Elephas maximus indicus: one gene and its partner. The protein of the gene in region 1 purifies or fractionates together with the protein of each later gene. This does not show direct contact. Links are inferred from orthologs where the notes say so. Each region holds a gene or a part of one and is shown in the gene's direction. Other genes may lie near its edges.

Region 1 (7,154 bases):
GGAAGGGATCAGTGAACTGGAAGACAGAACAATAGAGATTGCCCAATCTGAACATGACAGAAAACATAAACTGAAAAGCCAAACAAACGCAGAGTCTCGAAGACCCGTGAGGCTCAAATGAAAGATCTAAGAGTTCTCAGAGCAGAAAAGAAGGCTGGCTGAGAAAAGTACTTGAAGAAAAAATGGCTGAAAGCTTCCCAAATTTGGAAAGAGATGTAAACCTATAGATTCATGAAGATTTGTGAGCCCCAAACAGGATAAACTCCCAGAAATCACTATCAATACACTTCATAATTAAATTTCTGAAAACTAAAGACAAAGTCCTGAAAGCAGCCAGAAAAAAATGACATCTAATAGGGGCAAAACAATTTGAATGACAGTACTTTTATCATTAGAAATCATTTAGGCCAGAGGGAAGTGGCACAATATTTTTCAGGTACTTAAACAAAAAAAAAAAAAACTGTCAATCCAGAATTCTATACCCAGCAAAAATGTTCATCAGAAATGAAGAGGAAATCAAGACATTTCCAGATGTCTAAAAGATAAGGGAATACTATAAATAACTTTATACACATAACCGACCACTAAGAGACAGAGCAAATGGGCAAACTCCTTGAAAAATACAAATTACTATAACTCACACAATATGAGATGGAATACCTGAATAACCATATTAACTATTATCAGTACCAGTTGCTGTCAGTTCGGACTCATGGCAACTCACGTGTGTCAGAGTAGAACTGTGCTGTATAGGGTTTTCAATCGTTGATTTTTCAAAAGTAGAGCAACAGGCCTTTCTTCTGATGCACCTCTAAACCAAAACCAATCCCACTGCTTTGAGTCAATTCAAACTCATAATGACCCTAAAGGGCAGAGTAGAATTGCCCCATACGGTTTCCAAGGAGCGCCTGGTGGATTTGAACTGACAAACCTTTGGTTAGCAGCTGTAGCACTTAACCACTATGCCACCAGGGTTTCCGATTCAGACATAGGTGCTCAAAATTTATTTGCTGAATGAATGAATGAACCAGTGGCTCAGGAATGAAGAATCTGGGATCACACATCAGATAATCTTAATCTGACTCTTGGCTCTGCCATTTCCTAGCTGTGTACTCTCGGATGGGTTACTTAACCACGCTTTATGTTTTCTCATTTATCAAATAATAACCCCATCCTATAGGCTATAAGGATTAAATATACGTAATGTACTTAATACACAGTGACTTGGTGTAAAAGCTCTCAATACGTGATTGTTACAGTATAGAATCGTGTATAGATTTGGATTCAAAAATCCTAGCTTACAATTATGACTAGTTACTGTCTGATTTTAGGCTACCCACTTCTATATTAATTCATTCAATCAGCTATGACTCAAGTGCTGGGGACAAAGGGATCGATAAAATGCAGTCCCTACCCTCAAATCTTAGTTATGTGATTTTGGGCAGGTCACTTAAAATGGGGATAATACAATACCTACCTCAGAGCTTTACTGTGAGAATTAAATGAGTTACTATGTGTAAACACAGTGTCTGGCACACAGCAAGCGCTCACTAAGTGTTAGGTACGATTATGATGATTCTAATCCGGAGAAAAAGTCCTGGTGGAGCAGTGGTTACGAGCTCAGCTGCTATAACCCAAGGGTTGGTGGTTCGAATGTACCAGCTGCTCCGTGGGAGAAAGATGCGGCAATCTGCTTCCATAAAGATTACAGGCTTGTAACATTTAGGATATTCTACTGGTCTCACCCCTTCCGGAGCAAGGAAGAATGAAGAAAACTAAAGGAACAAGGGAAAGATTAGTCCAGAGGACTAAGGGACTACAACTACCACAGCCTCCACTAGACTGAGGCCAGTACAACTAGATGGTGCCCAGCTACCGTCACTAACTGCTCCGACAGGGATCACAAGAGAGGGTCCCGAACAGAGCTGGAGAAAAATATAGAATAAAATTTTAACTCAAAAAGAAAGACCAAACTTACTGGCCTGACAGAGACTGGAGAAACCCTGAGTGTATGGCCCCCAGACATGCTTTCAACTCAGCTCAGTAATGAAGACATTCTTGACATTCACCCTTCTGCCAAAGATTGGACAGGCCCATAAAAACAAAACAAGACTAAAGGGGCACACCAGCCCAGGGGCAAGGACTAAAAGGCAGGAGGGGACAGGAAACCTGGTAACAAGGAACCTAAGGTTGAGAAGGGAGAGTGTTAACATGTCGTGGGGTTGTTAACCAATGTCATAAAACAGTATGTGTACTGTCTAATGAGAAACTTATTTGTTTTGTAAGCCTTCATCTAAAGGACAAAAAAAAAATTACAGGCTGGAAACCCTAAGTGGCAGTTCTACTCTGTCCTATAGGTCACTGAGTCAGAATCAACTCGACAGCAACATGTTTAGTATGGAAAAGGGATAAAGGCATTTAAGCAAAGAACTACAATACAGTGACAGTAAGAGCAAAAAACAGAGGCACCAACTAGAAGAAAGTCTCCTAAACTGCGGTCTGCCCACAACTGTGAAGTTCCACGGTGATCAAGAAAACCTTAACCTGAGAGTATGGCACCTGGACACCCTTTTAGGTCAGTAACGAAGTCACTCCTGAGGTTCACCCTTCAGTCAAAGATTAGACAGGCCCATAAAACAAAACGAGACCAAAGGGGCACACCAGCCCAGAGGTAACGATTAGAAGGCAGGAGGTAACAATAGGGAACCCAAGGTTGAAAAGAGAGGGTGTGGTGGGGTTGTAAGTGAATGTCACAAAACAACATGTGTACTGTTTAATAAGAAGCTAGTTTGTTCTTAAATCTTCATCTAAAACACAATTAAAAAAAAAGGAAAACCTTAAAATTCTGCTATGTCTATGATAACTGTTATAGATTGAATTTTGTCCCCCCAAAATGTGTGTCAACTTAGCGAAGCTATGAGTCCCTGTATTATGTGGTTGTCTTCCATTTTGTGATCTGATGTAATTATCCTATGTGTTGTAAATCCTAACCTCTATAGGATTGGAGGAAGTTATGTCAACCAGGCAGGACACAATCTACATGATTAGGTTATATCTGGAGTCAATCTTTTGAGATATAAAAGAGAGAATTGAGCAGAGAGGGACCTCATTACCATCAAGAAAGATGAGCTAGGAGCAAAGCACGTCCTTTGGACTGGGGTTCCTTGTGCTAAGACGCTCCTACACCAAAGGAAGATTGATGACAAGGACCTTACCCCAGAGCTGACAGACAGAAAGCCTTCCAACCTGGAGTTGGTGCCCTGAATTCAGACTTCTAGCCTCCTGAATTGTGAGAGAATAAATTTGCTTGTTAAAGTCATCTACTTGCGGTATTTCTGTTATGGCAGCACTAGATAACTAAGGCAGTAACCTCTCTACTCCCCCAGAGTAATTACAAAGACAAACTACTTTGCTGCTTTCACTGGAATTTAAAGCTTTAAAAAAATTGAGTAAGAATTCTTGAAGAGTGTTTCTTAAAGGAGGCTGACAGACACAGCGGGAAGGTAAGATAATTTCCCTTCCCCACCAAAGGTTAACATATTAAAGCTGAAAAACGTCAATTGGATGGTGAACCCCAGTGGGCAAAGGTTTCCTGTAACTGCCTAAACGAAGCAACCAATTAGAAGTCGAGAGCACAAGGTGTGTTTCATGGCAGTGCTGTCACAAAGGGACAGAATCGGACATTAAAGAGTGGGTCCTGGCGGCTGAGTAGGTGAGAAAGACGGCGTCACCTTTGGAGAGAGAAAAACAAAAGCCGAGGCGCGGAAGGGTGAAAGCGCACGTGCGTGGCTTGGAGGAATCAAAGCTTTTTAAGCGGCGGTCACAGTGCTGGACATGTACAGAGAGAAAGTGCGGCCTGGGGCTTGGCGGGTGAAAGAAGAAACCCTCCCTCCATACCTAGGCCATGATCCCTCAGCCTTGGTGTCCCCACAAGGCCCCTCTCCGGAACCCACTCGGCTGGGCTCCCAGCGGCTCTCGCCCCTCTTCCCTTACCTCGTCTTCTAGTCTTTCCCTTACTCTCCCTCCTCCTCCGCCCCGACGGAAGTGACGTTATAACGAATGCGCCGCACAGCGCTAGAAAGGTTCCGCGGGCGCGGGAGACAGGGTTCCGGCGGTACTCAGTGCGCCGGCGTACGGGCGCGAGCGGTTACAGCGCCTTCCGGGAGCCGAGAAACAGATTCCTCTCGCCGGGTTTATCGCCTTCGAAGTGCCCTGAGCAACGTTCGGAGAGGCTGCCGGTCCTGGAAAGACTTTTCTCTACAGCTCCGGACGCCTCTGGGTGCCCAACTACTCCGGCTCTTGCCCCTTGACCCTGCTCTCGCGGCGGGGTGAGAGGTCGGGTGGCCATCTTGTGGCGGCTGCGCGGGCGGCTGTTACTGCGGTGACCCATCCCCTCCTCCCACCTACCACCCGAGTCATCTGTCAGTCAGTAAAGAGTCCGGCAGTCTGTCAGGTGAGGCCTCGGCCTCGTGCCGTCGCTCTTCCTGCCGCACTGGGCGGCCCAGGCCGCTCCCTGCCGGCCCTCACCGTCGCCGCCATGTCCTCCTTCTCCGAGTCAGCTCTAGAGAAGAAGCTCTCGGAGCTGAGCAACTCTCAGCAGAGCGTGCAGACCCTGTCCCTGTGGCTCATTCACCACCGCAAGCACGCGGGGCCCATCGTCTCGGTGTGGCACCGCGAGCTCCGCAAAGGTAAACACCCCTTCCCCGCCCCCTTGGCTCAATCCCGGATTGTTCTCTCCCCCACCTTCTCCCTAGGCTCCTCTACTGCTTAATTGAGTCTTGCCTTCCAGACACGGGCTTCTGAGGCTGGAGATAGTGTTATCCCCATTTCTCGGAGAGGGAAACTGAGGCCCAGGAAAGTGTAAGGCATTTGTCCGAGGTCCCACTGACCAGGGCCCAGCTACCCAGACTCCCAGTTCATTAAGCCTTTCCCCCCGCAGAATTTTCTTCACACTTTTAAATGTTACTTTCTCGGCTGCCTTCAGCGCCCGATGGAGGGTACTGGCGCCAGCCTGTTAAATATGCCAGGTTCTGTGCTGGGCATTCAGAGTAACAGTCGGCAGGCTCAGGAGTCAAGCTGCCTAGATGGAGCCTGGCCCAACCACTTGCTAGCTGAGTGATGTTGGGCTCTCTTTGCCTTCATTTCCTCATCCATAAAACGGAGGCAAGCTTAGCTGTGACTTACAGAGCCTTTATTCTGTGCCAGCCACTATGCTAAGATCTTTATATATGTCCTTGTGCTCAGTCCTCAGAACAGCATTTTAGAGAGTTTAAGGGGCCACATCACTAGCCCTTACCTCTCAGGACCCTCCTTTCATGCAGCTGCCATAGTTTCCAGACCCTGCTCAAGATCACTGAGCTCAGCCTAGTACTGGGTTGGGCACTTGACGGTATGTTAGCCCCACAGCCTAAGAGCTTGGAATCTAAGCCTGGCTTTGCCACTTACTAATACGAATAACTTAACCCTCCTTGTCTCTCTGTTTCCTTAATTCTCAGAGTCCTATGAAGTAGGAGGAGCCCTGGTGGCACAGTGGTTAAGGATTAGGCTGTTAACCAAAAGGTTGGCAGTTCAAATCTACCAGCCACTCCTTGGAAACCTATGGGGCAGTTCTTCTCTGTCCTGTATGGTCCCAATGAGTTGAAATCAACTTGACGGCGATGGGTTATGAAGTAGGAAGTGGCTTGGTGGCGCAGTGGTTAAGAGCTATGGTTGCTAACCAAAAAGGCAGGCAGTTTGAATCTACCATCCTCTCCTTGGAAACCCTTTGGAGTGGTTCTACTCAGTCCTGTAGGGTTGCTATGAGTTGGAATCGACTCCGTGGCAATGTTTGTTTTTTTTTTTTTTAAATAAAGTAGGATCTTTGCAGATGAGGAAAAACTGATGCTGAAACAACAACTTGTGGTGAGCGGTAAACAAAATAATCCAGATGAGCATTTAGTGTGGTGTCAGACACAGTGAAGGCATTTGGTTAATTGTGGTGAGATGGGACTGTTGATTATTCAGTGTGAGGCAGAGTCCTCGTCTTAAGTTGCTTACAGTTGGTGGGGAAAGGTGGACACCTACACCTCTGATACCCCAGTGAGTGCCATAACAGAAGGATGAGGAGATGGTACGGGCGCTTAAGAGTTATACTGGACAGCCTAGACAGCAGAGAAAGTGACTTTACCTGTGTTCTCTACTACCTGTGAGGTGGAGGGTATCTCCCCACTTTACAGATGAGGAAACTGAAGCTCAGAGTGGCTAAGTGGTATTTCCGAGGCCTTAGAGCTGGTGAGACTATGTCAGGTTGGCAAGCTCCAAAACCCAAATTTTGGAGCCTCCCCGGCCCCAGCAGACTCAGTTCTAGCCTACTAGCAGAGACTCCAGAATATCATGGCCTGTACGGGATCCCCTCAGCCCTCTGGGCACTGGGGTAGAGCCTGGGGCTGCCAGAGCCTCCTTCATGTAACTTGTGCTGAGATGTGGCAAACGTGTATTGCCTCAGCAGGATCGTGTTAGGTAGCATTTCAGTCCATCTCAAATAGCCACATGTGGCTTGTGGCTACCATATTGGACAGTGCAGAACTAGAGGAAGCTCCATCCAGGCATCAAGATGCAACTTCCTAATACGCAGGCTTGCTTTGTGAATTGAAAATGCCCTCACACTAAAGTGGAAAAGGATTTTCTGTTCTAATGTTCAAACTGACTGGCCTTTTAGATTCTAGGCCACCCTGATTCTTTAAGAAGTGGACATTTCTGTTTATGGTCATTTTCTTTATGTAAGTTTTTCACTGACTGACTCTGAGTTGCTTTCAAAATATTTACCAGACTTCCAGAAATCACTGTTTCTCACTTAAACGCGCCTTCTATTCCTGATGTGTTACTTTCTTTCCAGTTTCCTAGGAAGAATTCTTAATTTATTCCTTTGGGCTCAGTTCTAAGTCGAATGTCTCTTGTTCTTCATGAAGTAGTTTGGTGCAGAATGGTCTTAGATGAACATATTTTAATGGTGTTTTTGTATCCTAGCCTGAATGCAGATACATAGGCTTTTTTCCAAAATTACCGTAAAACTTTCTTTAGATGTCAAAACAACCACCCAAGTGAAAATTTTTGGTCAGCCAGTTGTTTATACTTTGCTCAACAACTAGTTCAACCAATTTGGAATGAGCATAAGT
Region 2 (7,473 bases), on another chromosome or scaffold:
CTGTTTGGGAAGCATAAGCAATCATGTTTCTACAGGTTCAGAAGTGATCAGAATGAAGAGGAGGCTGAGGTTGGGCACAAGGACTGTATGCTTGGTACTCTGGGGTGGCTATTATGCTGGACCTAGATATTTTATAAAGATTACAGTTCTCTTAACCAGGTCCTGCTCTGGCACATACTGCTACCTCTGTACAAATTAGAAAAAGACATTTCTTCTGATCCATACAGTCTATTGGCCTAAGCCAAGTGTACACTAGATTTGTGTGCCTCTCACCCCCAAGAAGGAGTCCCTGGGTGATGCAAATGGCTAAGTGCTTGTCTTAGGCTTAGGTTTTCTAGAGAAGCAAAACCAGTGAAGCGTATCTATATATCTATATCTGTATCTATATAGGAAACCCTGGTGGTGTAGTGGTTAAGTGCTATGGCTGCTAATCAACAGGTTGGCAGTTCAAATCTGCCAGGCGCTCCTTGGAAACTCTATGGGGGCAGTTCTATTCTGTCCTATAGGGTCGCTATGAGTTGGAATCGACTTGACAGCACTGGGTTTGGTTTTGGTTTGGGTATCAATATATATGGAGAGAGAGATTTATATCAAGGAAATGGCTTATGTGGCTGTAGAGGTTAGAAAGTCCTAAGTCCATGGGTTAGGCTGGAAGCTTCTCCTGACTCATGTGACTGCAGGGGCTGGCAAACTCAAGATCGGCAGGTCAGACAGCAGGCTGCTGGCTCACAGGCTGCGAAGGCTGATAAATTCCAAGACTGGCAGGTAAACTGCTAGCTCAAGTCCCAAGAACCAGATGTTAGATGAACAGGAGTCAGCTGCGTGATCCAGCATGAGCAAAAGCCAGCGAGCTTTGCCAGAAAGTCTACATATATTGGATGCAGGCCACACCCCCAAGGAAACTCCGTCTCAACTGATTGCTCATAGCAGATCTCATCAAGGAGGTAATTATGTTACATCAGCTCTCATTATGGAGGTGATTACATCATTACATAGTTACCCAACAACATCATAACTGCGAACCACTGAGAATCATGGCCCAGCCAAGTTGACACACAACCTTAACCATCACAGTGCTCAACTACTATCTGAAAGGTTGGTGATTTGAACCCCCCCAGAGGCACTTTGGAAGACAGGCCTGGTAATCTGCTTCTGAAAGGTCACAGTCTTAAAAAACCCTATGGAGTACAGTTCTACTCTGTATACATGGGGTTGCCCTGTGTCAGAATTTACTCTCTGGCAACTAACAACAGTAACACCCCCAGAGGACCTGTTAAACAGTGTACAATTTGGTGGTTTTTCTTCTCAAAACTGGGGTACACGCACCTCCACCCTGAGGGAAACAGAGCCACAGGGTACCATGACACATTTCTCTAGAGTATGATTCAGTCAAATATTTTTTGAATAAAAGCTTTTGTGGGGTGGGGGGGATGTTTAAAACTAGCATCGATAGATTATGTCACGAGAAAATTTGAAATTTAAACTTCATACTTACAGCAGCCTCCTTATAATTCCAAAACTCCTCCCAGGACAAAGTTGAAAAAGTTTTGCTTCTAAGAGTCTGTGTATTAGTAGAAGTTAGAAAAGTATCTACTACTTAGTACTTTAGTGCTAAGTAGGAGCTCTGGTGGCACAATGGTTAAGTGCTCGGCTGCTAACTGAAAGGTCAGCTTTCGAATCCACCAGCAGCTCCTAGGGAGAAAGATGTGGTAGTCTACCCCCAAAGGTTACAGCTTCGGAAACCCTATGGGGCAGTTCTACTCTGTCCTATAGGGTTGCTATGAGTCAGAATCAACTGGACAGCAACGGGTTAAGTGCTAGGCAATATGCTAAAGATTTAATCTTCTCTAATTCCATAATTGTCCTTCTTTCTTATCTCCATCAGACAGAAGAGACTGAGGCTCCACCCAGTTAAGTAACTTGCCCAGGGTCACACAGCTAATAAGAGGCAGAGCTGAGACTGAGATGTGGGTTTATCTATATTCAAAGCAACACCCCTAACCACTCTATAGATTTGTCTTCCTGGAGTCTCCCCAAGGTGGCCCTCATGGTTGTTGGAATAGGACTAGGATTTAGTTGGGTGCAGGATTATTTTAGCTGTTGGAAGATCTGGCAAAACAGAAGGAGGAGCCCAGAACCAGGAAGAAGGGCAGAGGATGTGTAACGAGGGATATCATTGCTGATGTCAGATGGATCTTGGCTGAAAGCAGAGAATACCAGAAAGTTTACTTGTGTTTTATTGACCATGTAAAAGCATTTGACTGTATGGATCATAAATTATGGATAACACTGCGAAGAATGGGAATTCCAGAATGCTTTATTGTGCTCATATGGAACCTGTACATAGACCAAGAGGTAGTCATTCGAGTAGAACAAAGGGACACTGCATGGTTTAAAATCAAGCTGTATGATAAGCAAATAAGCCAAGAAACTGGAGTATATGAAAAAGAATGTGGCATCAGGGTTGGAGAAACACTCACTAACAACCTGCAATATGCACATGACACAACCTTGCCTGGTGAAAGCCAACAGAATGTGAAGCACGTACTGATGAAGACCAAAGACTACAGCTTTCAGTATGGATTACATCTCAACATAAAGAAAACAAAAGTCCTCACAACTGAACCAATAAACAAAATCATGATAAATGGAGAAAAGATTGAAGTTGTCAAGGATTTCATTTTACTTGGATCCACAATCAATGCCCATGGAAACAGCAGTCAAGAAATCAAATGATGTATTGCACTGGGCAAATCTGCTCCAAAAGACCTTTTTCAAAAAAGTGTTAAAAAGCAAAGATGTCATTTCAAGGACTAAGGTGCACCTGGCCCATGCCATGGTATTTTCAATCTCCTCATATGCATGTGAAAACTGGACAATGAATAAGGAAGACGGAAGAAGAATTGATGCCTTTGAATTATGGTGTTGGTGAAAAATATTGACTATACCATGGACTGCCAGAGGAATGAACAAATCTGTCTTGGAAGACGTACAGCCAGAATGCTCATTTGAAACAAGGATGGCGAGGCTTCATCTCACATACTTTGGACATGTTATCAGGAGGTACCAGTCCCTGAAGAAGCACATAACAAAATGGAGGGTCAGTGAAAGAGAGGAATACCCTCAGTGAGATGGATTGACAAAGTGGCTGGAATAATGGGCTGAAACAGCAATGATTTTGAGAATGGTGCAGGACTTGGCAGTGTTTTGCTCTGTTGTACATGGGGTCACTATGAGTTGGAACCTACTCCATGGCACCTAACAACAACGACAGCCCATCACCTAGTTTCCATAATTATCAATATATTGCCAAACTTGATCCATTTATACCTCTACATTTCCTTTTTAATATAACTTATTTATTATGTGTTGCCATTGAGTAGATTCCGACTCATAGCGACCCTGTAGAACAGAGTAAAACTGCCCTATAGGGTTTCCAAGGCTGTAATCTTTAAGGTAGCTGACTGCCCCATCATTCTTCCCAGGAGCTGCTGTTGAGTTCTAGCCGCAGACCTTTCGCTTCGCAGTCAAGCGCTTTAACCCCTGCGCCACCAGACCAGACCAGACCAGACCCAGTGCCGTCGAGTCAATTCCAACTCATAGCGACCCTACAGGACAGAGTAGAACTGCCCCATAGGGTTTCCAAGGAGCGCCTGGGGGATTATTAGTAATTTAAATAATCTAATTTTTAATGATGGCTGCATTTTACTATATGGGATTGCTGTATAGATTAAATAAGAGCTACTAAATGTGAAAGCAATGTTCAAATATTTGCTGAATGAACTCTGCTAAGACGCTTTACTTGCATAGACTTTCACTAATTAACGCATTTAATAATAATAAAAAAAAAAACTTATTGAGCATCTATTACAGGCCAAACCCGCTGCCTTCGGTTGGATTCCGACTCATAGTGACCCTATAGGACAAAGTAGAACTGCCCTTTAGAGTTTCCAAGGATCGGCTGGTGGATTTGAATTGCTTACCTTTTGGTTAGCAGCGGAGCTCTTAACCACTGCGCCACCTGGGCTCCCCCAGGGCTCCCCATTATAGGCAGTAAAAAACCCCAAACCTGTTGTTGTGGGTGGAGTCAATTCCGACTCATAGCGACCCAACAGGACAGAGTAGCACTGCTCCCTAGGGTGTTAAGGAGAGACAGGTGAATCCGAACTGTCGACCTTTTGGTTAGCAGTGGACCTCTTAACTACTGTGCCACCAAGGCTCCTCATTATATGCCAAGCCAAGGCCAGGCACTGTTAATTTATGGAGGTCCGGCAGTTCGTCGTTACGAGTCAGAACCGACTCCACAGCAACGGGCTTTTCGGCTTATGGCCCCTTTTCGGTTGGTGGGCGGGGCGGGGGCGGAGCTTCAGGGATCCTCTCCCCCCCCGCCGACTGCGAAGCCCAATCGGATCCACGGAGTGACCAAGTCCCGCCCACCTCGCCCCGCAGCCCGGAAGCGAGGCTGGGGGGGCAGTGTGTGCGTTTCCGGTGACTCGGGGTGGCCGGTACCACTGCCGTTGGAGACGGAGCTATAAGATGTTCTACCACGTGAGCAGGGCGCGGGGTGGGGGCGTGGATTGGGTCGGGAGGAGGGCCAAGGCTGGGCGCGGGGGGCCCGGGCCGGCTTCTCACCCCGTATCCCCACCGCAGCTTTCTGTGTCACCATCCCACTTTCCCCCCAGATCTCCCTGGAGCACGAGATCTTGCTGCACCCGCGCTACTTCGGCCCCAACCTGCTCAACACGGTGAAGCAGAAGCTGTTCACCGAGGTAGAGGGGACCTGCACGGGGAAGTGAGTGTCCCAACCTTCGCGCCGCCTGATTGCCTCCCGCACTGTGCCCTGTGTTTGTAACCCCTGCTCATCTCCAGCAACGTCCTGCCTCCCACTCTGGAAAGCCCTCTCACCCTCCCAGGCGTCCCAGGCAGTCAGTTGCCTCCTGGTTTGGGTTCACGGCACTCCCTGCAAAGGTGGATAACAGAACTTGCAGAGTTCAGCTGAGATGGGTCATTTATTTCCCAATTTCTTCAGCTGCTGCTGGTTGCCAGGCCCAGTGACTGAGACAGACTGAGGCTGGCTCTCATGGAGCTCACAGTCCAGTCATCCTTCCTGTATCTATTCCCTCTCTGTAATTCTGCAGGTTTTCCCTCCCTCCCATGCCTAGGGACTTGTCATGGCACATGTTTGGCCTCAGTAGATGTTTGTTGAGTGAATGAGTATCCAGAAAAAGCAGAGTGAGAGTTTGGGGGAGGAAGGAGAGGGCTGGAACTTGTCCATCCTTGGGCTCTGCACAGAGGGGCCTCTTAGAAGGTGATGTGAATGAGCTGGGATGGAGCCCAGGGCAGTGGAGTACTTGGGCCTTCATCATGAGAATAATCTCGGGTGCTTCTTGAACATCCAGGTTCCTAAGGCTCAATCTGGGCCCTACAGAATCAAGACTCTCTGGGGGCAGACCTGGGAGTTTAACAAGTCCCTCTCAGGTGATGCTGAGGCATCCCAAAGTTTGAGGTCGGTTGGCTAAAGGACTACATTTTGCTTGGGCATTTATCATGAAATCCAAGAGACTTACAGATTCTGTCCAGTCTTCCCTACTAGTCCTTAATCTCTCTGGGGACAGGGGTGGTGTCTACTTCCACTTTGTGCCCCACCCTTCCCTGGGCTCCATGACCTGTTTGCAGGTGGCTTTGGATGCTCTTCCACACACAGTCCCTTTCTCATCCTCTTTGCAGGTACGGCTTTGTAATTGCTGTCACCACTATTGACAATATTGGTGCTGGTGTGATCCAGCCAGGCCGAGGCTTTGTCCTTTACCCTGTTAAGTACAAGGCCATTGTGTTCCGCCCCTTTAAAGGGGAGGTCGTGGATGCCGTGGTCACTCAGGTCAACAAGGTGAGATCGCGCATTGGGGAGGCAGTGGGCTGGTCCCTCAGAAGATCTGAGTTGGGTGCTGACTCCACTTACACACTCTGTGTCCTTGGCTAAGCCATTTCACTTCTTTTTGCTTCAGTTTTCTCATCCATCAAATGAAATGGCAATCTTACACTGCCTCATTTGGGGGCGTGTGAGTCAATATTAACACTTTATTACAATAGTGGCTTACGTTGATTGAGTAGTTACTGGGGGCTGGTAAAGTGCAAAGCCTTGTCCTGACCCTGTAAGGGAGATGTTTTTATCCACCCACCCCCCCCTTTTTATAGAAGCTGTCTTAGGGAAGCTAAGTGTTCTGGCCAAAGTCACATGACCAGCAAGTGGCAGTTTGGTACATTTCCACCCCAGATATACTGAATCAGAATCTACATTTTAACAAGATCCCCGGGTGATTGTTACATACAACTTCCTGGGAGCTTGTTTAGAAATGCATGTTACCAGCAGGGGTTCGAACCAGACCTAACTGGTTCAAAGCTCTGGTTCAAATCCAGGACTGACAAGGCCCACCCAGGCCTAAGTTCTTTATTACTACACTATATTTGTTTAATTTAAAGTGACAGATTAAAAAAAAGAAATGAAAAGAGATGCTACAATTTAGAATGATTTAAAAACATGAATATTATTAAGAATTAGATAAAGACAGGAACCTTAAGAGACTTTGGGGAACAAAATAAGAAGCAAGACCGCTCATTTCGCTTTTAGGTCGGACTCTTCACAGAAATTGGACCCATGTCCTGCTTCATCTCTCGACATGTAAGTCTAGGCTCTTGGTGGAGGGTGGAGGGGGGTTAAGGAGGAGAGACATCTGTTCATGACTATCTATTGGAGCTTTTGTTTACACTGCTGACCCAGCCTGACCTTCTTTTCAGTCCATCCCATCAGAGATGGAGTTTGATCCTAACTCAAACCCACCGTGTTACAAGACAGTGGATGAGGTGAGTGGGTAGGTAGAGGCCGGTGAAAGAAGAGAGGCAAGAAGGAGCTACCCTGAGGGAGGGTATTGGCCTGGGGGTGGTGGCCGGAGTACACTGTTCTACCCTCTCTCCAGGACATTGTGATTCAGCAGGATGATGAGATCCGTCTGAAGATTGTGGGGACCCGTGTGGACAAGAATGACATAGTGAGTCTCTTGCCTGCCTCCCCGCCTGTACTGGGCAGAGCTGGGAGCTGTTGATTTCTTACCATCCAGAATGCCTGGGGTTTCTGGGCTCTTCTGCCAGGAAGAGAGGATGATGGGTGGGCAGAAGGCCTGGGGCTGGGAGGTAGGGGTGGGCTTTTGCTCTCCTTGGCTTCATTTCCATTTTACCTCCCCTCTTGCAGTTTGCTATTGGCTCCCTGATGGATGATTACCTGGGTAAGTGCCTGAGCTTGCATGCCGGGGCTGTTGCCTGAAAAGGGGTGTGGGGCCTGGGGAGGATATGGGGCTAATGCCTGAGTCACAGACATAGCAGCTTTCATGCTGTGTGCCCCTTCGAATGGGAAGTACACAGATGGGGCCCCCCAAGCTTGGGGCCCACTGATGTGCCTTTCCTGTTTTTACAGGACTT

Evidence for each region. The genes of interacting proteins can lie anywhere in the genome.
Region 2: the proteins of RPRD1B (region 1) and POLR2G purify together in Homo sapiens (affinity purification with mass spectrometry; 3 studies listed by BioGRID and IntAct, counting the BioPlex papers as one, with this or other methods). This does not show direct contact. The link is inferred for Elephas maximus indicus from reciprocal best matches to the Homo sapiens genes RPRD1B and POLR2G.

What each region holds. Positions count from the first base shown.
Region 1 is NC_064843.1:31,483,652-31,490,805, reverse strand, and holds the start of RPRD1B (regulation of nuclear pre-mRNA domain-containing protein 1B), read left to right. Parts: upstream 1-4,135; 5' UTR 4,136-4,537; coding exon 4,538-4,688; intron 4,689-7,154. UniProt on the Homo sapiens protein: Interacts with phosphorylated C-terminal heptapeptide repeat domain (CTD) of the largest RNA polymerase II subunit POLR2A, and participates in dephosphorylation of the CTD by RPAP2. Transcriptional regulator which enhances expression of CCND1.
Region 2 is NC_064825.1:125,918,421-125,925,893, forward strand, and holds the start of POLR2G (DNA-directed RNA polymerase II subunit RPB7), read left to right. Parts: upstream 1-4,449; 5' UTR 4,450-4,536; coding exon 4,537-4,548; intron 4,549-4,682; coding exon 4,683-4,792; intron 4,793-5,727; coding exon 5,728-5,887; intron 5,888-6,628; coding exon 6,629-6,679; intron 6,680-6,795; coding exon 6,796-6,861; intron 6,862-6,974; coding exon 6,975-7,046; intron 7,047-7,246; coding exon 7,247-7,280; intron 7,281-7,468; coding exon 7,469-7,473. UniProt on the Homo sapiens protein: Core component of RNA polymerase II (Pol II), a DNA-dependent RNA polymerase which synthesizes mRNA precursors and many functional non-coding RNAs using the four ribonucleoside triphosphates as substrates.